Linked DNA regions of Drosophila melanogaster. The gene in region 4 interacts genetically with the main gene of each other region. Each region holds a gene or a part of one and is shown on either strand. Other genes may lie near its edges.

Evidence for each region.
Region 1: of zip (region 4) and CycB, changing one suppresses a phenotype caused by changing the other (phenotypic suppression), as found in Drosophila melanogaster (one study listed by BioGRID).
Region 2: of zip (region 4) and Csk, changing one suppresses a phenotype caused by changing the other (phenotypic suppression), as found in Drosophila melanogaster (one study listed by BioGRID).
Region 3: of zip (region 4) and Rok, changing one suppresses a phenotype caused by changing the other (phenotypic suppression), as found in Drosophila melanogaster (3 studies listed by BioGRID).

What each region holds. Positions count from the first base shown.
Region 1 is NT_033778.4:22,802,836-22,809,291, forward strand, and holds CycB (cyclin B), read right to left. Parts: upstream 4,114-6,456; 5' UTR 3,847-4,113; coding exon 3,811-3,846; intron 3,665-3,810; exon of another isoform or gene 3,457-3,664; coding exon of another isoform or gene 3,439-3,456; exon of another isoform or gene 3,251-3,438; coding exon 3,105-3,250; intron 3,041-3,104; coding exon 2,832-3,040; intron 2,730-2,831; coding exon 1,825-2,729; intron 1,756-1,824; coding exon 1,459-1,755; 3' UTR 686-1,458; downstream 1-685. Other genes in the region: stl (stall), read left to right, coding at 5,944-6,120. UniProt on the Drosophila melanogaster protein: Essential for the control of the cell cycle at the G2/M (mitosis) transition.
Region 2 is NT_033777.3:11,643,491-11,648,696, reverse strand, and holds the start of Csk (C-terminal Src kinase), read left to right. Parts: upstream 1-1,720; 5' UTR 1,721-1,851; coding exon of another isoform or gene 1,852-1,909; 5' UTR 1,910-1,981; intron 1,982-5,206.
Region 3 is NC_004354.4:16,634,089-16,639,240, forward strand, and holds the start of Rok (Rho kinase), read right to left. Parts: upstream 3,327-5,152; 5' UTR 2,340-3,326; intron 2,274-2,339; 5' UTR 2,196-2,273; coding exon 2,134-2,195; intron 1,580-2,133; exon of another isoform or gene 1,487-1,579; coding exon of another isoform or gene 1,452-1,486; intron 1-1,451. Other genes in the region: RpS19a (ribosomal protein S19a), read left to right, coding at 4,145-4,215, 4,318-4,717.
Region 4 is NT_033778.4:25,007,819-25,013,062, forward strand, and holds the start of zip (zipper), read right to left. Parts: upstream 3,646-5,244; 5' UTR 3,524-3,645; coding exon 3,494-3,523; intron 3,391-3,493; exon of another isoform or gene 3,282-3,390; intron 2,799-3,281; coding exon 2,562-2,798; intron 1-2,561. UniProt on the Drosophila melanogaster protein: Nonmuscle myosin appears to be responsible for cellularization. Required for morphogenesis and cytokinesis. Necessary for auditory transduction: plays a role in Johnston's organ organization by acting in scolopidial apical attachment.

The DNA.
Region 1 (6,456 bases), 2.2 Mb from region 4:
CCGTCAAACTTAAATTTCGAACAGGCGCACAGCAAAGTCAGCAGGCCGTGTACAGTGGGCGCTCTATAAGGCGAACAAATGTTGAAACTCAAACTTTTTACCTAATGCATTAATTGCTACTAACGAAAACTATTTGAAATATTCGTTCGATAATTCGCTTATATGTTTCTTAAGAACTTAACTATAAGGTTGCCTTTATTTGGCTTTGTATCGAGTAACTACTGTACATGAGAAAAGTGAGATAGACACCCACACACACACACGCACAACCATGTGCGAGCAATGTGCTCGGCAATTACCGTTGCCCATGGAACACGGTACCAAAAAAAGGGAGAGAAAAGCGTTAAAAAGGGAAGAAGGAAAGGGAGAAGCGGAAGAGAAGTAACTGACCTGCGATCGGGAAGGTGACCTTCCCCAGGGGCGCCGACTATACATATGTTTGTATGTATGTACATAGGTGCAGGGTATACAGAGGTATATCACTGTACATATATTGTGTATTCAGGATTGATAAGAATGCAGGACAAAAGGACCTCCGTCCTTGGAAAAGGGTCTGCGTTCATCTCAGGCTGTCTGGTTTTTTTAGGGGTGTGGAAAATTTCTCACACTTATCAGCTGTCGGAAAGATTTCAAAACTAATGAAGTCACATGGCGGCACATTGCATGCAAGGTAAACACGAATATTGTTTATAAAATTATACAAAACTTTATTTTCTATGTATTGTTCAGAGACATTTTTGGGAAACATCAGTTAGTTAAAACGTGTTTTAATCGTTGCTTAGTGGTAAACAATATAACTAGCATAAGTTGTTTTTGTATGAATGTGCGAAATACATGATATAAATTACAAATAGTCTACGTCTCTTTTTTATGCGATTTATGGGAATAATTTTGCACAATTTTTTGGATTTATTCATTCCCATCGAAACTAAAAACTAACGACAAATACAATTAGTGATAGGTAGGTAGGGGATGAAATGATTTCACGGGTACAATTATAAAATATAATTCTTGGAGAGACAACGCCGATGTGTTCGGCCAGCAAATGAACTCGTTGCCCACTCTCTCTCTCGGTGTCCACCGCTCCGCCGCTCGCTCCCACTGAGATGGTGACCCAGCGAAAGGAGCTGACGGGCTCCAGTTTAGTTCGGTTCCTAGTCTTACCGGAGGAACTCACTCCCAGCGGCCGGCTCGCGAGCAACTTGTGCTCCGTGGGCAAAGATGCCGGAGCCAGCTCTTGGCAGTAGCCGAAAACTGCTCAAGGGACTCCAGCAGATTACGATATCTTAGGGATGGGTGATGCAGGTAAAGATAGTTGGCAATGCGACTACGGTAACTATACGCATTTTTTAACGAACACGAAACGAACAGAAAATGAAATACGCTACAAATTTAAAAATGAAAACAAATTAAACTAAACTAGGTAAGTCAGGGTCTTCCAGTCCGCCTTGGACCGCACTATTTCCTCTGGCTCTGGCCCACAATCGAGTCCATCAGCGCACCGGTCAGCTCCGTTCGCAGCGCGATCTTCTGGAACTTGCTGCCCTGGTACTTGTTGTAGATGGCCTTCAGCTTGGCCTGAGGAGCGTCCCGGGCCAGTTTCGCGATCAGCCGGGTAATCGGACGCAAGTGCGCGGCCGAGTATCGCGAGTAGAAGGTCAGAGTGGGCGTCCAGTGACGGTCGTTGAATCCTGTACCGGCCCGGTGGTTTCCATTGAGCAAGTGCAGCGACAGGAACAGTGAGGCAGCTGCAATCTAAAGGCGCCGCAAAAAATATTACATATACCTATGCTAAATAAAAGGGGATAGTGTATTGAAACCCACCTCCGATGGCCTGTAAGTGGCCATTTCGTAGTCCACGGAAGCTAACTCGATGAAGTACTTGGACATCGTATGGTGCTCGTCCTCGGCGCCAGCAGCCTTCGAGTAGCGTCGAAGGAAGTGAATCGGCAGCGGACGCGACAGATTACAGTCGATGGCCTTGAAGATTTGCAGCTCCATCTGTCGGATCTGCCGGGCAGTGTAGGTGTCGTCCGTGATGAAGACGAAATCTCCGATTGCCGGCGGGAACAGCTCCTCGTACTTGGTGGCTATGAAGAGTGCTGTCACTCCCACCAATTGCAAGTACGTGCGTTTGGTGTCCTTGACCACCTGCAGGTAGCGATCAATGATAGCCACCGCCAGCTGGAAGGTCTCTGCAGCCAGATGGAACTGCAGGTGGACTTCGTTGATCCAATCGATCAGCACGGCTCGCATCTTGTGGGACACCTCCTTCTGTCCGGCCAGGTGATCCTTGTGAATGGGCTGCTCCAGCTCCACCTGATACAAGTAGTCGTAGATGTCGTTTACATATTCGGAGACCAGTACCAGGTTCTCCTTGTCATTGGCATCAATGTCCTCGATTCCAGCCAAGCGCTTGCTGGAAAGGGACATGGTGGTGGGCATCGTAGATGTGGTCGTAGTGACTGCACTGTTGCCCCTAATAAGGGGCATCCTGGTCGCATCCTTTTTCACTTCCAGTGAGTCCTTCTTGGTTTCTGGCAGTTCCTTCTTGGTCTCTGCCTCTTTGCGGGAAACAGCTACTGGTTCCCGTCGAATTCCTGAAACTCCCATCACGGGTTTGGCCAAAGCGGCACGCAGTTTGGTCAGCGACTTCTTCGACAGATTGCTGTCCTCGCGCTTTAAGGTGGGCTCGTTCACGTTCTCGGAAGAACTGGACTTGACTGTAACTTTGGGGATTCAAGATGAATTGGGGTCAGTATGATGCAAGCCATTCAAAAATTGGAAATGGTAGATGATGATGATTGGTAGATGATTGCTCTTTTGCTTACCTTTAGTGGGTTCTACAGTGGTCTTGGTCGGAACGCGATTGCGCACCGAATTCGAACGCAAAAACGCCGACACGCCCCCCTCGTTGACCTTGGGCGGAACGGCGCCATTGCCATTGCCATTGGTGCTGCCCAGTGGCTGTTTCTTCCAGTGGCTGTCCACCCGAGCTTTGGCATTGCGCAGGGCGTCTGTGAGCTTGAGATCCTTGGAGCTGCTCGGTGGAGTAACCACATGTGATTGCGAATGGAATACTTGATACTGGTTCAAACACTTACTCTTTCTGTGCCGCATCCTTCGCTGCGATGGGACGACTTATGCCGCGATTCTGCAAATCGCCCAAGGCCGCGCGTTTTGTTGTTGCCTCCATGGAAGGAACCGTCAATTTCTTCAATTGCACTTGCTTGAAGTTCTCCGAAGCGTTCTATCGAATATTGTTTAATTAGTTTTAGAAAACAAATGGAGAAGTGCAACAAGTATAGTTGAATGCATATCTGCACTTTGAACCCTATTCTTTAACATCTTTAATTATTGAGCACTGATTTTAATTATTTTAAATTGTTAAAGCAAGATCAGTTTGTTGCATAATAATGACTTGATCATGAAATGCACCTTTTCAAGGGCGGCCATTTTGGGAAAAGCACCGCAAGACTGATCCTCGATTTATCTCCTCTGTGATTTGGTGCGAAAAATAGGTGTGGAGAGTACTAATTAACGGTGCAAGCACCGCCGGTAGAAAATTGCGCCAAAATGTGAGCAAGGCAACTGCAACAACGACAACAATGAGCGCCCGGGACAAACGGCACTCTTTCTTTTCCCCCTCCCTTCACACACTCATCGCACTATCGCAGCGTCCTCTTTGCCCCTCTCTACATGACCACGCTGCAATGGCGTCTCGCTGATGACGAGCCCACTAGTTTGTGACTTTACCATGACCTTTTCGCGGATGCCACGGTAATCTTAATGTTCTAGGGATCAACTCACCTCATCGCCACGCATTTTCAGTGTTGTGCCCACCATTTTGATTGCTTCTTTTCTATCTGTACAAACACAATTAACACGAAGATAGGCAGACGCTTGGCTATCACTTGGTTTGGTTGACTTTTGATCGCGTTTCTGTGACCGAACGCTTGTTTAGCTGTTGAATTTGTTGTCCGAATATATGATTACTAATAGTTTATAATTTACAAGTCGAGTGCGGGATTGTCAATTCTCCGAAAACCTGATCGAGTTTTTGCACACGAAGCGAGGCCAAGCTGCCGTTTGAATTTGAAAATGGGAATGGGGATGGAAGTAAACTCGATGATAAATGCCGATGAGTTTGACGATATCGATTTCTGGACTTAGTTCCCTTTTAAGCCGCAGTGGCGCTCGAGAATAATCGATTTATTAGAGCAGAGCATGCAAAATAGAGATGCGATACGTGCGATAATTTTCGATAGTTTTAGTGTGACCAGTACTGGTGCACAGCTTATCGATGACAGGGCTGAAACAGTGCTACCCATAAATTTCAAATTTAAATTTAAAATTAGCCGAAAAAGAAAACGTTACAGTTTGAAATTTCTGTTAGATATTCAAGCTCAATCCATTTTATACATATTTTAAAAATGAAAACTTCATGGATTAAATTTGATAGTTGGTTAAGGTTCCCCATTTTAATAAAGCCATCGCTTTGACTGCCAGTCGTCACTCGGTTGCACCATCCATTGATTGCATCAATTAAAAGTTGATCACTTCAATTGGCTGTGTTCGGTTTGTTTTTGTGCCCCCCTGATTTGCATTCGCTGATTTAAGATTTCCTGCTGCCACAGGCCGCAGAACATCGAAACTCCGCGGCGGAAATGCAGCATAATTCTTGCCACTCCGCAGCCTTTTTTGCTGATGATCAGTGTCAAGTTTTCGTCTGCTCCATCATTTTCAAGCACTTGACCACAAAACAATCGCCATCGCCTCAGAATTTTGCCTCTGTTTTTGTTTAGTACCCCAAACTCTCCTGTTTTTTTTTTGTGGCCCTTTGCTGCGTCTTAACGGTTGGCGCATTCTTCTTCTCTTCTTCCGGCGCTCTGGCTCATTAGCATATATTTATGAGTCTGTTTGCGCTCCAAAAGTACTTTTGCGAACTCCGGCCAAAAAGCCGAACGAGAATGGAGCGCCAGCCGACGATCGCGAGCTCGAGTTTTCCGTGATTTTCACATTTCATTCGCAAAAGTGCCGCCGTCGCGAGTGGTTGCCTCGCTCTCGCCGCCTCTTTCTGCGCTTCTGTCGCCGTCTCTTTCGTCGCCACGAAAAAAGTCCTTCGATCGATCCAACGCGCATTGACCTCCAGTAAATCGTTTCAAATTTTAAATGCCCCAAAGCGGTCAGATTTCGGCGTGATTTAGCGATTTTTAGTTAAAAAATATACATATAAAGTGCTTTTCGGCTATGGACATAAAACCAGAAGATCGTTATGCTCCAGAGCCGATGATCTATATGCCGTGTGTGTTTGTTGCTGGCTGCTTAATTGTGCGCTGGCGTTTAAATAAAATCAAGTGCGTTTAAATGACAAAAGACTGGCATTATATGTACAATATATTGGCAATTCAGAACTGGAGCTGGAGCTAAAATAGCATTTTTCAAGCACCATTTGGTCTTATCTCGAGTGTCGATCCATAAGGAAGAACTTAGGCAACAAACTAAAGTACACCAGCCACTAAAATAAAACGAAACATAAATAAGATAGAGTGCAAAAAAAAAAAAAAAGTGGCCCACAACAAATGACTCGTAATGCAATGCCTGGGCAATTAATTAGTGCATAAACATTTGAATTAACAGCCGTAAAAGTTGGAGCCCCGTACACGATCGCGCCTTCATTTGGCTCTCTCTCCCCTTTTGAGAAATCGGGCTCCAAGTTTTCCACCCTCGATTTTCGCCGCTGGAAAATGTAACTCCGCTACCACTGAAAATTATGACGCAAAAAAACCGAAATCGGTGCGCAGCCTGAGGAATAATATATTTGCAATTTATGCAACAATCGTCGCGTGGTTGTTGCCACAACAAAGAGCGATTAGTGCACTAGGAGCATTACAATAGCCACCTGTGGAGTCCCAGAGAAGCCGTCATCATCAACGCATCGTTATGACTGTCGCAGCAATTGGATCTAATCGGCACCGTCGTTTGGCTTTAATTGTTTTGACCACCTTGTGGCTGCTAATCGGGGCCAGCAGCTCCTCATCCTCCACCTCCTCCACCAATCCAAAATCCGTCAACATTGAGCTGCGTCGCAAGAGGAGCTTGCACTACAATGGCATTGAGGTGAGTCCCGATATCAATCAATGCTGCCTCATTGTCGTCCAATGAATGGCACTTTGGCTTTGTGGCTGCACGACGAACTGCAAAAGTAGAACATCTTTCATTGCAACTTAAGGCTTATCAACAAGGAATGTCTTTAGTTATTATATTCTTAAGGTCAGGCTTGAATCATGTGACAATTGTATTTATGGTAAAAGTTTACGTTTGCGGTGAGTCAGGATATTAATCAAACTATTGCTGTGGCCTCAGAGTAGAATGATAAGCGATATATCTTTACACGATCACACTGAAAACTTTAAAGTGTTAATGGAAAAATATCAAAAAACTAGTAAATTTCTA
Region 2 (5,206 bases), on a different chromosome or scaffold from region 4:
TTGCAATTTTATTTATTCCGATTGGTCATACGCCATTACTTCTAGGGCTGGGCAGGTGATAGAGATAGAGATATATATTCAGTTCAAATTATATATTAGTCATATTTAGCGATGTCTAAAATAATTACGTGAATGCCTTTCTATATGCATTCCATTGTGGCTGTCTAATATACATATAATTTTGACTTATTGAACAACTGCCAAAACATCTGATCCAATTTAAACCGTACGAAAAAATACATTTCCCTGAAGAAAGCCTAAATCCATGCACCGTTCAACAATTTGTTTACGTTGACTTTATCGTATTAAAAAAAGGCTATCGACCATTTAATCTTATCATCAAACAGCTGGAATATGCATTTACGTTTATCTGGGAACGCGGTGCAGAAATGTGTACTTTATGTTTATCTGGAACCGTTGATATATGTAGATACATTCATATGTTTCGCATTCTTGAAATTATTACTTTCCTCGTTTTGTTGCCCAGCGGACACATTTTCTTCGCATATTAAAGGTTATTTTTTCCTTGCCATCTGTTTGTTTGTTTATGTTGCTTTTGCGGGTATTTTTAGCACAAATCCCTCGCCTTTTGATCTACTTGCCATTCGGGTTCGCCAGGCAAATTCGCTGGGAGAGCTGGTGCATGAGCACGGTTCCGACTTGATGCTAATTGCTCCGCAAATATGCAAGAAATGTAAAAGAGAAAAATCGGAGAAAATCACGAACTGTGCAACTGCAACTGCAATTGGAACTGCAAGCGCTGGATGCGAAAGAAACAATAAACATTTTGATGTCTACATTTTTGCAAACAACTGATTCGAGAGCGGCAACAAATTGCCTGGAAACGGAGACGAAAAGTAAACATGCAAGAGAAAAACTATTTGCCATACAAGTCGTTGGGAAAAGGAGTGTGGCGGGGGGCACGGGGTTTGTGCGACCAATAATGGGGGAATTAATTAACATGGCCAGCGGCGGCAATTAGACCAAATAAACGAAACAGAAAGGAAATCGATCCGAGTCACAAGCCTCCAATGTTGCTGGATGTGTGTTTTTACAAAGCTGTGATCGTTTTGCCTCTTGAATCTCCGATATCACAAAGTGCACTGTGCGTAATGATTTTAATGAATTTAAGGTATAAATATGTTAGGCTTATGTAGAAAGTACAATTTGATATATATAATATAATAAATTATATATGTAAGTCTTACAATTTTTCTTTAGTTTTTACTTGGGATCGCTAATAATGCGATTAAATAAACTAAATTTCTTTTAATTAAGTTTTCCCGTGTAAATATAGGCGACCGCAGAGTGGGTTACTTTTAGCTAGGCCAAAAGCGAGACCGCAGCAGCTACTTGAATGGCCAAAATCGGCCTAATGAGTTGGGCAACACATGTTTCGATTTGACTTCCATAGCGCGACGCTGCGAAAAGGAGAACCGTCAGTCGGTGGCCAAATGTGCAACAGGTGGGCGATCGCATGCGAGCGACTGGTCTTATCGCATGCAATAAATGCACGATAAAGAGAAGAAGCCGGCTCACAAAAACACGAAGAAAATCTGAGACTGAGCTTCGCAAGCGGCGCTCTCTTTCTCTGAAACTGAAACTCGGAGGTTGATTTTGTGTTTTTTTTTCTTTCGTTTCATTTTGTGTTTTTGGTTTTATTTATCGTGACTCAGTCGCGGCGGCAACTTCGTGCATCGCTTTTCAGTTGAAAACTTGCAGGCAAGGCGCGCGGTCGCGTTTCGATTCAAAAATCGAATAGTAAATAGAGAGAATAGTAAAAGAAAAAATAAAAATAAAATCGCTTGCCACGCATGCGCAGCTCATCATCGCGTGTGTGCGAATTGGCCAATGAGTGAATCGATTGCAATTGGCTTTTTGCAATACATAATAACAATAAATTATGACGGTATGCAAAGTGGCCTTTTTTTGATAATCCGATCCGTTCAGCGAAAAGGCACAAAAGGCGAACTATCGTGATGTAATACCGCGCGAATGCGAATTGTTCATATCGCTATTGTAATAATTTAATAATTAATTATACAGGCGGGAGCTATTTTTCGGCTTCGCCTCAAGGAAGTGATTAATGCAAAACATTATCAAAGTGCGAAGAAAGTGAAACAAAAAGCGCTGAAAGATCAGCATGGCTTGAACATACGTATATACTCGAGATTTGGTGGCGCAATGACCTTTGTGTGTTTGTTGTTTGATTTTATTTGCCATGTTGGGGATGTTCGCTTAATTATGGGTTTTGGCCACATGTATCGGACATTAGTATGAATCTGTGTTTCGAGTGTGTCCATGATTAATTCAAAATTGCTCAAGGCATGCACGGTCAAAACTGAAGTTGATTTTAGGGCTTACTGGTCAAAGTCAGGCTTAGCTTTCAATTAATTATGTAGTTAGACTGCTACAATTAGTTTAAATCTGATTAGGATTTTCACAAGACCCCATATCGAATGCCGAATTAATTAATTTTAAATTAATAAAGGGCTGTTTTGGTTGCCCAATGATTTTTGCACAAGGTGGCCTTTAATTGATCTGATCACCTTTCTAAAATCATTCAAATTCAAGCTCTTCGCCAAACCATGTAATTTTTTCGTGTGCAACTAATGAAGACGATCGCGTCGCGGCTGCATATTTGATTGTTTGAAAGTCTCGAATGAAAGTGCCTTGGCAGCATGTTACTGTACTGTACACTTCCCTCCCCTCACCGATTACCACTTTTTTTTTTTTTTTTTTTTTTTTTTTTGTTTGCTTCGGGCCAACTTCAATCACAGAGTGCTAATTGTTTTCTCAGGTCTCCGTGGATTGAATTCCCCCAGTCGACAAGTTCCCATTACTGCAATTTCTTCGCTTATTCTGCCATTCTGCTCGCTCTCTAACTGCACTTTTTAATCCGATCCCAAATCGCAGATCGCAGATGCAACTGCGGCGGATCGAGCGCAGCTGATCTCGAAATTGCATGAATCACTCGGCCTAAAAGACCCTCTGCACAATCGATTTGCACGCTAATTTTGGATTTGGCGACGTGCAGACACTCGACTTTGACAAAATAAAAACTGGAAAAAAATAAAGACTGCAAATTCGAAAACATTGTAGGCTGGCGTGTCGGGGCATTTTCAATTTTCCAGCGCATTAGTCATCGCCGGTCTAATCGGCCAACAAAAAACTAAAGAAAAAAAAAAAAAACGAAGAAAAAAGCAAAACCGGAGCCTTAAACTGTAACTAGTTTTTTCCAACGCTCTCTGAGCTGAGAAACTAATCCGTCGTCCTGCATGAATCTCGCACTGAAATTTGTATCTCCAAGCTGGCTGGACCAAGTGAAAGTGGACAAAAAAAGAAATATATATGTAGAAATAGAGAAAAAAAGACTTCAAATACAACTGCAGCAGACGCGTGAAACAATTTCTCATATTTTTCTTGGCTCCCCGTACACTTCGGTTATGTGTTTTCCATCCACTTATTCAATTTGCCATTCACTGCACACAAGTGAAGACGAGCTTAACCCCCAAACTGGCCGAAGATGTGCCCCCAAACCCTCCAAAGCCCCCCAAAGACCACACTTAACACTCGAAAGCCAATGGCGCATTTCATTTCTCGGCTTTGGACTCTTTCGTTTTCTTGTAATGCGTGCCAGGCACGTTAAAGTAATTGTACAAATTAATTTATTAATTAAGCCACTGGCCGGAATGGTCAGAAACAATAGCGAATGCTAAATGCTCTTTGTCTCAAGTTAAATTGCCGATCATTTGTTTTTTTTGCTCCAAGTCAGAGCTGCCGTTTTGGTGAAAAGAGGAGGGTATTCATTCGAGAAACTTTCACTCTCCGCTTGCCAAAATTATGTATGCAACAGGTATTGCCGCAAGGTTTTAATAAAACCTATTCGAAACGCAGCTCCAAAATCCCCAACGCTCATTTCGAGGATATCCGGACCAGCAAACTTACGCATCTCGACCAGGTTCAAAAACCCGACCCATTGTCTTTAGCTCTTCTGTTTTATTTTGGCTTTTCTCCTCGCTTATTGCCCACTTTGTCTCAGTCTCAGTCAACGGTTTAGACTTTTTTGGCCTTTATTTTGATTCGACTTTGTGGCGTTGGCTTTTCATTTTGCATTTCGTCAGCGGCGACACAAACTCGTTGTGTCATACATAATTCTGTTATTGTTTTATTTAATTAGTTGCGTTGTCTTTCTTGTGCGGTGCGCTTCTTTGGGCGACCGAACGCTTTTCCCACTCCGAAAAATAGAAACACTCCATCGTGCGGAGAATTTCATTTGGCCGCCACCGTTCCTTTGTGGGTCATGATAAGCAATCACTTTCCACGTGCCCAATTCTGGCTCATTTGAATAGTTAATTGTAAGTTGACATTTACCTAGGAAAGTTCAAGAAAGTGAAGATGCAGTGAATGTTGGCAAATATTTGGGAATTCTATGATAAAGATTAAACTTAAAGCCAACTGATATCCTCTTCCCTTCTGCCCCTTTGTATATCCATAAGATGGGCAAATAATTGAATCCTGCTGCTTACAAACTAAATGGCAATATCAGTGCAGAAATATCTCTTTTCCCCGCCAACTTTCCCAACATTTGTCACCTGTCTTTAGGGGATAGACAATAGTTTTGCTTAGCTCACTGCGCAGTCGACGTCGACTGCGAGGTTCCCACGCCCAAATTATTTGCACAATATGTAGCCAGAGCTCTCCAGTGAATTCCAATTCAATTCAGGCGGCTGGTTCGTGTTTTCCCAACCCAGAGAAATAAGCCAACATGGAATGCCGAACCAGCATTTGGCCCAACCAGCATTTTTCGCTGTTTGTGGAGCACTCCAAGCCATTGTCGACTATTTCAGTGAGCCGCTGACAAACCGTTAATGTGGCGAATTGACTTGCTGAGGAAAAAGCTAGCCAAAAGCCAGTACAAAAAAAAACAAACATATAGATGGCAAAGAGTTGTTATTATTATTTAGTTATTCCTCGCAATGAAGTCAATTTCTGTACGTAGCTCGGTTTTTTTTTCATCATCTAGTTTTCAACCTTTTCCATCCAGGCCGGGCTTTTATTCCATTCCTCTTTGTTTTTTTTAGCTTGAATTTTCTCTTTAGAAATTTTCCATTTGCGCTTTTTTTTTGCTAACAATTATCTGCCCTGGTCTTTTCTATCGATTCCGCCCAGTTGTCCATTGTGGATGGAGAATCGACGTATCCAC
Region 3 (5,152 bases), on a different chromosome or scaffold from region 4:
CTTTCATTTATACAAACATATTTATCAGGGGAGCCGGTTAATTTATGCATTTTCATGAATCAAATATTTACGTAACTATAGTATAGTAAAAAGCATAGTACGCTATATTATTTTATCAGTAAGTGCGGATTTTAAAATCTCAAAAAACAAAAACACTGCTCTGATTCACCAAGCGTTTCATTCTTTATAAATGATATTAAGAATATACAAATTGCTTATTTACTTTTGAATGTAAACAAAAAGGTAAGGTTCATTCTTCGGAGAGTGTATGTATGTACATAAATCATGGAAAATAAAATCTTGCGAATGTAAATATATAGAAAATTAATTATAACAATTAGGTATTTGCATACGAGGTTACTAGAGCATGGGAAAAGCGCTCTTTCAAATGGAATTTCTCGGCAAATTAAACTACATATTCGGCAAAGAATGAAACAATTAAATTTGGCCTGCCAGTGCGTTGGTTCTGAATTTCTAAATTTAAAGGCATTTTCCGGTCAAAAACTAATTCCCGTAACCAAGATTTATGTGCAATTAGCAAGATGCAAGATGTCGGAGATGCGGAGTCAGTCTGTCAGCGATTGGGAATCGAATTTCGGTGCCCAGCAAGCAAAAGTCAGACTCAGATGCAGGAGCAGGCAAACTGCGATGACAGTCGGCGCTAAAAATTGATACTAAAAGGTGTTTGAATTGTTGTGATTTCATCATCGCCACTTACGGCATGACAGAAAAGCCAAAAACAAAACGCTCAAGCAGCGGGTAATAGCAGCACACACACACACCATACACAAAAGCAAACAACTTGGGAAAGTGGAATTTTCAAAAATGCTGCGATGAATTTTCGTTGCCGCTGTTGATTTCGATTTGGCCAAAGCGGCAAAATGGCAACAACAACATAATTATGAGCAACATTATTGACAACAACAACGGCAATAATAATACATAATAACCAACGACGACGATGACGACGACGACGACAACATTATCGTCACCTATAGACAATATAATTTTCAACTTAATTTATACAACGTCGCCAAATTCGATCTGCCAGTTTTTACAAATTGAACGCTTCACATTCAACACACAGAGATAGAGAGTGGTACTGCATCTGCGTTGCAGAATCTCTTCACACCTTATTAATTCTAATTAATTATTTGCCCAGGCAGCACAAAGGAACTGTTCGGCTTTTATAACCAAATGCGCATTGCAATTGGCCATTGTTAGTACGCAAATGCCTTAACGTTTGCTTCGCTTATGACTGCTTACAGCAGATACCGAGTGGGGATGGGTAATTAAATTTAAGTATTTATATGCATACTCGACGCTGCGGAATTGCTGGGCAAATTGTATTCTCGGAATTTGGAATGCAAGCGAACCAGGACGACAACTGGTAGCTGAGAGCTGGATGCTGAATGCTGAATGCTAGGAGCGTGGAGATGAGAACAACGTACCGTTCCGGCTCGCACGAATGGAGGGCGGCGGGCATTAGCCATGTCCCCATGCCCTATACCGTCTACTGTCCAATGGAAGAAACCGGCGTGGTGCTGGCTATCTATTCTACCTTTTTGGCCCAAAACGATGCAAACGATGCAGCCGATGCAACGCGACGCCTGCAACTGACAAACGGCGGCATCAGCCACTGTGCGTTCGTTTTAGTTCGCTTTTCGTTTTCGTTTTGGTTTTTTTTCTTTTTGGTTTGGTTACAAATTTTAATGCGAAAATGGCAAATTTATTATAAAGTCGCCCCCCGTTTTGTTCACTCGCTTGTCAATTTGATTGCCGCGCTGTCGCTTTGAACATGAGATATGGAAGGTGTTTGCCAGCGGTGTATTACTTTTTGATTTGTTTTGGCCAGGCCCGTTTGGCTTGCGCTGAATTGTGCTAGCTGGCTAGTTGGCTGGTTAGGTGGTTAGCTGGTTAGCTGCTTAGCTGCCTGCTTGGCTTGGTCAGTTGAACAAATCACAAATCTGTCTGTACAAATCGCACGTATCTGTGCGATGGCTACTGCCACTTCTACTTCTACTTCGACTTCTACTATTGCTATTGCTGCTGCTGCTGCTGCTGATGCTGCCATTCAGGTGACAATTAATTGAGTGGAGCAGTCGCTTTTGGGCCGCCATCTCGTGCACTCACCGGCGCCTTCGTTCCACATCCATGCTGCGCTGCTTGGTCACAGTTTCTCGTCCAGCTGGCATGCAAATGCAAGATAACAAGCTGATACTGCTGCTCCAGCTGCTGCTTCCTGTTGGTCAACTGCTGCTCCTGTGCTGCAACTGAAAGCGAAGCAAGGGTTTAACAGAGTTCTCTTCGGGGTACACATATTTATATTGTACATTTACCTGCCAGGAGTTGTTGGACGTCTGTCTATGCTGGGAATGCTAATAGTAATGAGGAGAGGAGGCACGCGTCAAGCGCTAGTTGTTTGCTGTTTGCTGGCGATGAGGTCACGAGTGTTTCGTTGGATTTCTGGCTAACTGCTGCCACTGAACGCCAATCGAATACGGATGGGGATGGGAATGGGAATGGGTATGGGTATGGGGATTGGGCACTTGGCGCTGGCTTCTTTTGGTGGAGTGCCGCCAACGCCACATGCGGACGCAGCCGAGCACCCGGGCGTTCCCAGGTGCGTTTCCCACACGGCAGGCAGGTGTGCTATCGATTCCCGGAAAATGCTATCAATCTAGTTTACTTCCTGTGCAAATGGGATCGTAATGACCAGGATGATCACGTTGACCACGATGGATTGTTGGGTAAACAAGGGAACGGGGATTATTGTCCGCAGTCCGCTTGGCATGCAACAGTTGTGTCAACACTTGTGGCCAAAAACCTGGCCAAAATGTGTCGAATGCGGCGGATTGGTGGTGTTGAAGGTGGGCTTTTGTTTCTCGGCCTTTTGAGTTGTTGGTTTTTGTGTGCCCCAATCAAGTAGCTTTTTCCTTCTTCTATTTTTTTGTTAATTCCAACGATACCTCTGTGCACACACACTTACACGAGCGCACGCACACCAGTGCACTGCGAACGGCGAACGTAGCAAGCGCTACAACAACAATAACAAGGCGCTTCACAGACACACACACACGCGCGCACACACCGATGTGCGTCACACCGACGTACTGTCCGTCGGCAGCGGGGGAAACGCACGGGGGGGCGGGACGGGACGGGGGCGGCTGACCGCCCAAATTGCGAATGTCCAGTTTCGGCCGCGGCCAAATAGATCAATTTGGTTTCAATTAGACGCTGCGCGTTGCACTTATTTTATTTCGGCTCGGTGCTGGTAGAGATGGCAATTGTGTTTACATATCGAAGTTGAAGTATCGAAGTCACTAGGCGCCGATGAAAATACCAGAATATACCAGGGCCAACAGGTGGCGCTCCAAATGGCGATGGTGCTGCGGCAATATCGGTTGTCTGCGTCATCGATGGGCCGCTTGTTATTCGATAGACTCAGAAACTAGCTTCATGAATAGTTATGTAAATCGGTTGCTAACAAAATAAAAAGCAGTTATTTATGAATAAAGTGATACAGCAAAATATGAATTGTACTACGCATTCTTTGCCCACATTGAAAATATACTAATACGAAAATGCATGTTTAGACAAGGTCTTCAAATGCCAAGTAATATATAATATAATCTTGGTGTGCTCATTAATTTAAATATTTTTAAAAATAACTATAAATTGAACACATACGTGTTAGAGTATCATTAACCGAATCTTCGATAGTTCGCCGCGCCGGCATTCGATTAATCGATACTATTGCTGGTGGCAGGCCCAGCACTATTAACCGCAGCCAACTTCACGCGCCTTGTTCTTTTTTCCGGTTGACTTTAACGAGAAAGGTTGTGCACGAATTCTTTTCAAGTGAATTATCTTTTTTTTTATGTTTTGAATGGGTGAAATTCAATGAAAGAGCCCACGCCAAGTGGCAAATGACACAATGGGCCGGCCGTAAACACGAAAGGACAGCTTTTTTCGGGTTAAAACTTCGGCTGGCAATTTTTTGTTGTGCCCGTGCATGTGTGTGTGCGAGGGAGAGAGAGAGAGAGAAAGAGTGTGTCTGTGAGAGAATCGTGGAAATCGCGACAACGTGTTTTTGGCAGCATTGTAATAGATTCCCCATTTGTTTTTCCCGTTCTGCCCGCAGATGCCAGGCGTCACAGTGAAGGATATTGACCAGCACGCGGTTACCAAGGCGGTCGCCGTCTTCTTGAAGAAGTGAGTACTGAACATCAAGTATATTTCCACCACATAACCTCACAATCCATTTGTTTATCCCCCCCCAAAAAAAAAAAAAAAAACACGAAAAAAACCAAATAGGACTGGCAAGTTGAAGGTGCCCGACCAGATGGACATCGTCAAGACCGCCAAATTCAAGGAGCTGGCGCCCTACGATCCCGACTGGTTCTATGTGCGTTGCGCCTCGATCCTGCGCCATCTGTACCACCGCAGTCCCGCTGGAGTCGGTTCGATCACCAAGATCTACGGCGGACGCAAGCGCAACGGTGTCCACCCCTCGCACTTCTGCCGCGCCGCCGACGGTGCTGCCCGCAAGGCTCTGCAGGCCTTGGAGCACGCCCGTTTGGTCGAGAAGCACCCGGACGGTGGTCGCAAACTGAGCTCCATTGGACAGCGTGATCTGGACCGTATTGCTAACCAGATCGTGTTCAAGCAGCGCGATGCCGCCAAGCAGACCGGGCCCATTGTTATTTCCAAGTAATCACACGGCGCCCCTTCGAATTCTAAAAAACGCATTTTTAGACTTCTATTGTAAGCGCTTTTTGTTTGCACGAGAGAGATGAGAAAATAAAACCAACCACAATTTGTAAAAGTCTACGAAACATGCGTTCTTCGAATGCTAGAAACATTTTTTATGCGGTCTGTAAACAGGGGAATAGAATAGCTCCTCTTGGCAATGTAAAAAAGTGGTAGATTTATCAGGATGCTGCTCATATTAGTAATATGCATGTGCGAAGAACAATGTGGACAACAGCTACATTTGGCGTAATTAACTAGCCAATTTATACTTTTACCGAGCCTTCACATTGTTAATGGCTTTCCTTCTATTGCTAAACTATCAGTATCAGTTTGGTATTCTGCCCTTAGAAGGTGCATAGTTTCATTAACAATCCATGTGCTAAGTGGTTGCTTGCCT
Region 4 (5,244 bases):
TTATTCCTTCGCTTAATCGATCAACGTATATGCATTGTTGAGGATGGAAGTGGAGATGGAGAGGGTAAGAAGCGTATATTACACATACGTGATACGAGGCGCAGGTTCGTTGACCGTAAACCGGACGGACGAGAGTCGAAAGCTGGCTACGTTTGTCATTGCCGTAACCGAAAAGAAAACACACACTCGCGCGGCACGGGCATCTCCGCCAGAACCAATCGCGGCACGCCAAAGGGCGGGGGCGCGGAAGCGGAGTGGGAGTGGTCGCAAACAAAGTCCAAAGTGGTTTCTTTGGTTATAAATACGAGCAGCACACATACAAGCGTGGAAGTATGAAACGCAGCATGTGTGGGTGAGCAGAGACCCCCTAATGATCGCCGTTCGTTACAATCGAATCGATTCTCTGGACATGACGAAGGTTAAGCCGACTTCAATTTGGCTAACAATATAAAAAGTTTTCAGATTGGTCTCGGGAGTGAGGCGTTCAGGAATGCCTGAACAAAGACAGCGGATAAGAAGAGCATTAGCGCTGAAGAAGAGGGAAAAAAGAAAAGAGGTGTAAACACATTTCCACCGTGTTCACGAATTCCAAAGTATTAACTTTTCAATTTCATCGTTGGACAATGGAAAAGTAAGCTATGAACTATTAAAAGCATTTAAATAGTTTCAAGATCGCAAATATACATTAACCTATAACCCGAAACCTTCAATGTACAATATATCTAATCCCCACCAATAAACTTGCTCTCTGTGCAATTGATTCGATGAATCATCGCTGTTCAGCAAACAACATGAAACGAAATGTAGCCACGAACAAAAGGTCTCCTTGTGTATCCACCAGTAAATTACTGAATTTGGATATCACGTACGTGGACTGACGCCGCCATTATTCAGCGAATTCGCTTACATTTCGAAAAGCTGGAACAGTTGCTGGAAACGAAACGAGTGTTGACACAATTGGCGAATACCCTTTTGGACGGGTCCGTTCCCGTTAAGACGTAGCTGTATCTGTGGACATTCCAGCGGAGCAACAGTTGCGCTATATGCAAATTTCTTAACTATTTCCACCCGTCTCATGTGCCGTTCGTCAGTCGCAAAGAAATTTTAGCCTTTAGACAATCTGACGGACCACTCATGACAATCGAGCGTTTCGTTATTTTCGTTTTATTTCTGGGTTTTATCTCTGCCGTTGTCTTTTTGTGAGATTCCATTGTAAAGTAAATGTCTGTTAAAGTGATCGCGTAATTACACAAAAATGTGAAGTTGTTGGCTTTTGTTTTCGATGTTGCTTTTATTATACGAAGTCACCCAAAAGTGCTACCATTCTATGTACGGAATTATCTCTGGCAAATACAGCAATTACGGGCAGCCAGGGGAGAAAGGAGCGGTTGATAATTTTATCTGTTTACGTTTTTTATGGTCTTGAAATTAAGTCGTTGGAATGCAGTTGAATGACACCTGAATGAAATCGCTTTAAACTGAAGAAGAGAATAACAAGCCACACCGAAATTAGCAAAACAATCGGCTTGTTATCATAAGGCTTGATCGCTAGCAGTCGACCAAAGTTTTGAATTTGAATTTATAGGCCAAGAGCGGGCGCCCGAACTCCGAGGGAAGCGATTCTTTGGCGCAATCTCGGCTCGTTTCTTTGCTGGCCTGGCTGTGTGGTTGAGGCCAGAAAGCCCCACACAAGCAAGTCCACACCACAAATACCTAGCCACATTGAAAACTTGTTTTGGCCCGCTCTTAGTGGGAACTGCGAACTGGGGCCATTCCTGCTTCCACTCTCCCTCGGAGGTGAGTCACTGAGTCGAAGAGCGTCTGCATGCAAATTGGTACCAAATGGTCGCGGATTTGACCAAGTAAGAAGTTAAATGTGTCACACTACTACGGTGAGATTAATTCAGCATCAGCGCAGGAGAAAAGAGTGATTCAGCATCGACGCCAACGGATGTTTACCCAAGTTTATCACCGCGGTGCGAATGTAATGAAAATTCAAAGAAGTTGGGCCTGTTCAAAATTAAAAATAAACGGATCGGTGAAGCGTGATTCATGACCAATCGATGAGTGAGTCGGATGGCTCAAAAGGTGTTGGCTGATAAGAAGCGCAAAGCCGGGGACAAACACTGTGAAAATTGATTAGAGCACGTACAGCTAGGGCTAAAATATTATCACGATGTGTCGAACACACTATGTTCTATAATAACCATTCACTGCGAAGTAATACTTAGATATTAGATAGTTACATGTAGCAATTTTTTACGCAAAAGAATATGAAAATTAAACGAAAATTAAGTACATTTGGTAATTTTACAAAAAAAAAAAAAAAAACCATAATGGGCTAATGACTACCGACTTCACGAAATAAACAGCGTTATGATGTATCGACTGTATTTTTATCTCAGTTGTAGCAGTTCCTGTTGCATTTAGGCTATCTATAGGGTCTATTCAGGTAGTTCACTGAAACGGGCGTGGCTTCCGGGGTAGAAATCCCGTAGCAGAGGTTGCGTCCAGAGTAGGAACATGCTCTACGGGTAGGCATTACATTTAAGTAGACTCACCTGGTTCTCGTGTGGCACCCACACCAGACGCTTCTGTGTCCACTCGGCCTGCGTGGCCGGATCGTTGAACTGGTTGCGCTCCACCGAGAGGTACTTGAGCTCCGGATCGTTGCGATCTACTTCCTCCGACATTTTGGCGGCGATCTCTAAATAATTCCTTGTCTGTCGGTAATTAGCTGCTTTCGGATAATGGATATTGGATACTGGATATTCGCTTTTCGGATGCAATGCACTTTTCTGTCGGACAAAACAAATCGATGAGAACAATGAGTATGTTGCCTCGCTCCTCAGATACAATATTTCGCATTTATCTCGCGTTTGCGTTCTTTATCTCGGAAGTGCGGCACAAAACGGAGGCGGCGAGAACAGCGCGCGGCGAGAGTTTCAAAAGGGAGAGCGCGAAGGCGAAAGAAAGACGGAGAGGAAAAAATATGGCCACACATTTTCATTTTCTTAAGCCAAAGTCACCGCTGAACGTAGAAGAAGGGGTGGTGAAGTAATTTAGCGGAAAAATAGCGTTACGTAGCAATTAACCAGTTTGCATCTCCTAAAACTGCAGCTAAACACTATCAGAGCACCTTTTCACCTCCGATTTCGGATGTTTCAGTTTTCGGAGCAGGTACAAGCGGCTCTTTTTCTTCCTCTTCGTCTTCTCTCGCTTTGCTTCCCACTTGGTTCGTTCTGCAACACCGACACACAGCACGGCTCACACACACACACACATAGATCGCACTGGGAGCCAAGGTTTCGCATATTCGCATATTTCGCACACAAGTTTCGGTTTTTATGCTCCCATTTCCCCGCGTCAGCACAGCGTTTGTGCAAATGCAGCCAAATTCGACCGTGCAGTTTCAGCTGGCGGCGTCCCGACGCCGGCGAATAGGTCGCTGCATTCGCTGGATGCCTGTGCACATTTCCGATTTTTTTTTTACCGATTTTAATGCAAGCCAGGCGCTTTTCATTTGTTTGGCGACAGCTGCACCCACACACACTCACAAAGACTTCGACCGCAGTTCCTGAGCACGTCTTTTCGCTTTCCCCCTTTTTTTTTCACTGTTTTTCGCCGCTTGCCGTTTTGCCGACCGAGTACTTTTCGAGTTCGATGGTAATCGATGCCTTCCGATTCCATTCGGACATATCGATGCATCGATATGTCGTAGTTCACACGACGGCCGCGGCAGCGCTTTCTGAAAACACATACATCGATATGTCAACACTGATTAAAATTCTACATATGGATCGCATCTAGATTTTGTTTAAAGCACACACCTGTAACATTTTTTCAGGTCGGCCATTGTATTCCTCTATAACAGAATATCTAAGTTTTTAGCAAAGTATCGCATCAGCTTCCTCTGGTTCATGACTGCACTTAAGATCGAAATATTCGCGGCTTCAAGCCAAGCGGTGTCGATTGGAATCGAATACTTCCGGAATAGAAATGAGATTAAATTATTTTGCCGATTTCACTCACTTGCATATTCAGATGTAGCAAAGGATGTTTCCAACTCACTTTTCAATTTATAATATTGGTCAAATTAGTGCAAGCTAAGTATCGTATATGTCGATTTTACTTTTGACATATACGTAGTTCATTTAGTTGGACCGCACGACAACATCAAAATACCTTACCGCCTTTTTGTTTTTGGTGTTTTGCGGGGTCTCGCGTGCTGTCCTCTCTTCGAATCAGTTCTTGGTAAAACCAAACTTCAATAAACCGTTGGGTTAATGCGCGGATGTGCGGATACTTTCAGTTAATTTTGAATTTTTCGAGGAACGGTGAAGGTCCGCGCTTGAATCAGTAAGTCCAGTTCCGAGTATCACAGCCAGATGTGAGTGCTTGGCGCCAGTCGCAATTAAATTGACTTTAATAAAATATCTGGCGGGCTCCTTGCGAACTTTTAATTCTGGGGAAACGGACTTGAGTGATTCCAACTAAGAGCAAGAACACAGTTCCTTAAATGAAGTGCTACTTCTGGCAGCGTTCTTGAGATGCGCGCAGCATCCTTGGCAATGACGTCATTCGCCTGCTGACCAGTTTCTCTGTGTTCGTGTGTATGTGTGGCGAGAGTGCGTATGCGTGTGTATGTGCCGAAATTAGAGCGCAATAGCGAATTCAATTTGCATTTGCGGAAGAAATAACTGCAAACGAACAGAATCGATTGTTGTTGTCGCGAGTGCTTTGTTAAGGATAAGAAGAAGTCGCGACTAGTTCCGCAAAACTCTCACGTTTTGTCTATGGTTTCTCGTTTCCAGAATCCTAAGTGAGGGACTCCGAATAGGATTCATTGGATGACAAACTAACGTGCAGCCAGGAATTATCGATTCAGGTAAGCCATCGTTTCTCCTTGAAGCAACTGGGTCAGACAGCGATAATAATTGCACGTGTAGTTCCTGGTTTTCCACAAAATTGTCGTGGTAAGCTGAGCCACCCCATCTTCCCGAAACCTTCCAGCTTTATGCTGATAATGAATTTTTAATGTGCGCTGAGACTGCTAGTAGAAAAGAAAAAACAAACCCACATAAATTAAACTTGCAAAATCTTCAAAGGACAGAGAACTGCGTCGGTGCTTCCATTCCGCTTTTTTGGGAGGCTGTAAATTATGAAAGACCAGACAAGCGGTAGACAACAAGGTTTGCCCGTTCCCAAGGGATCCCGGGGCAACATAATCAAAGGCCTTTATTA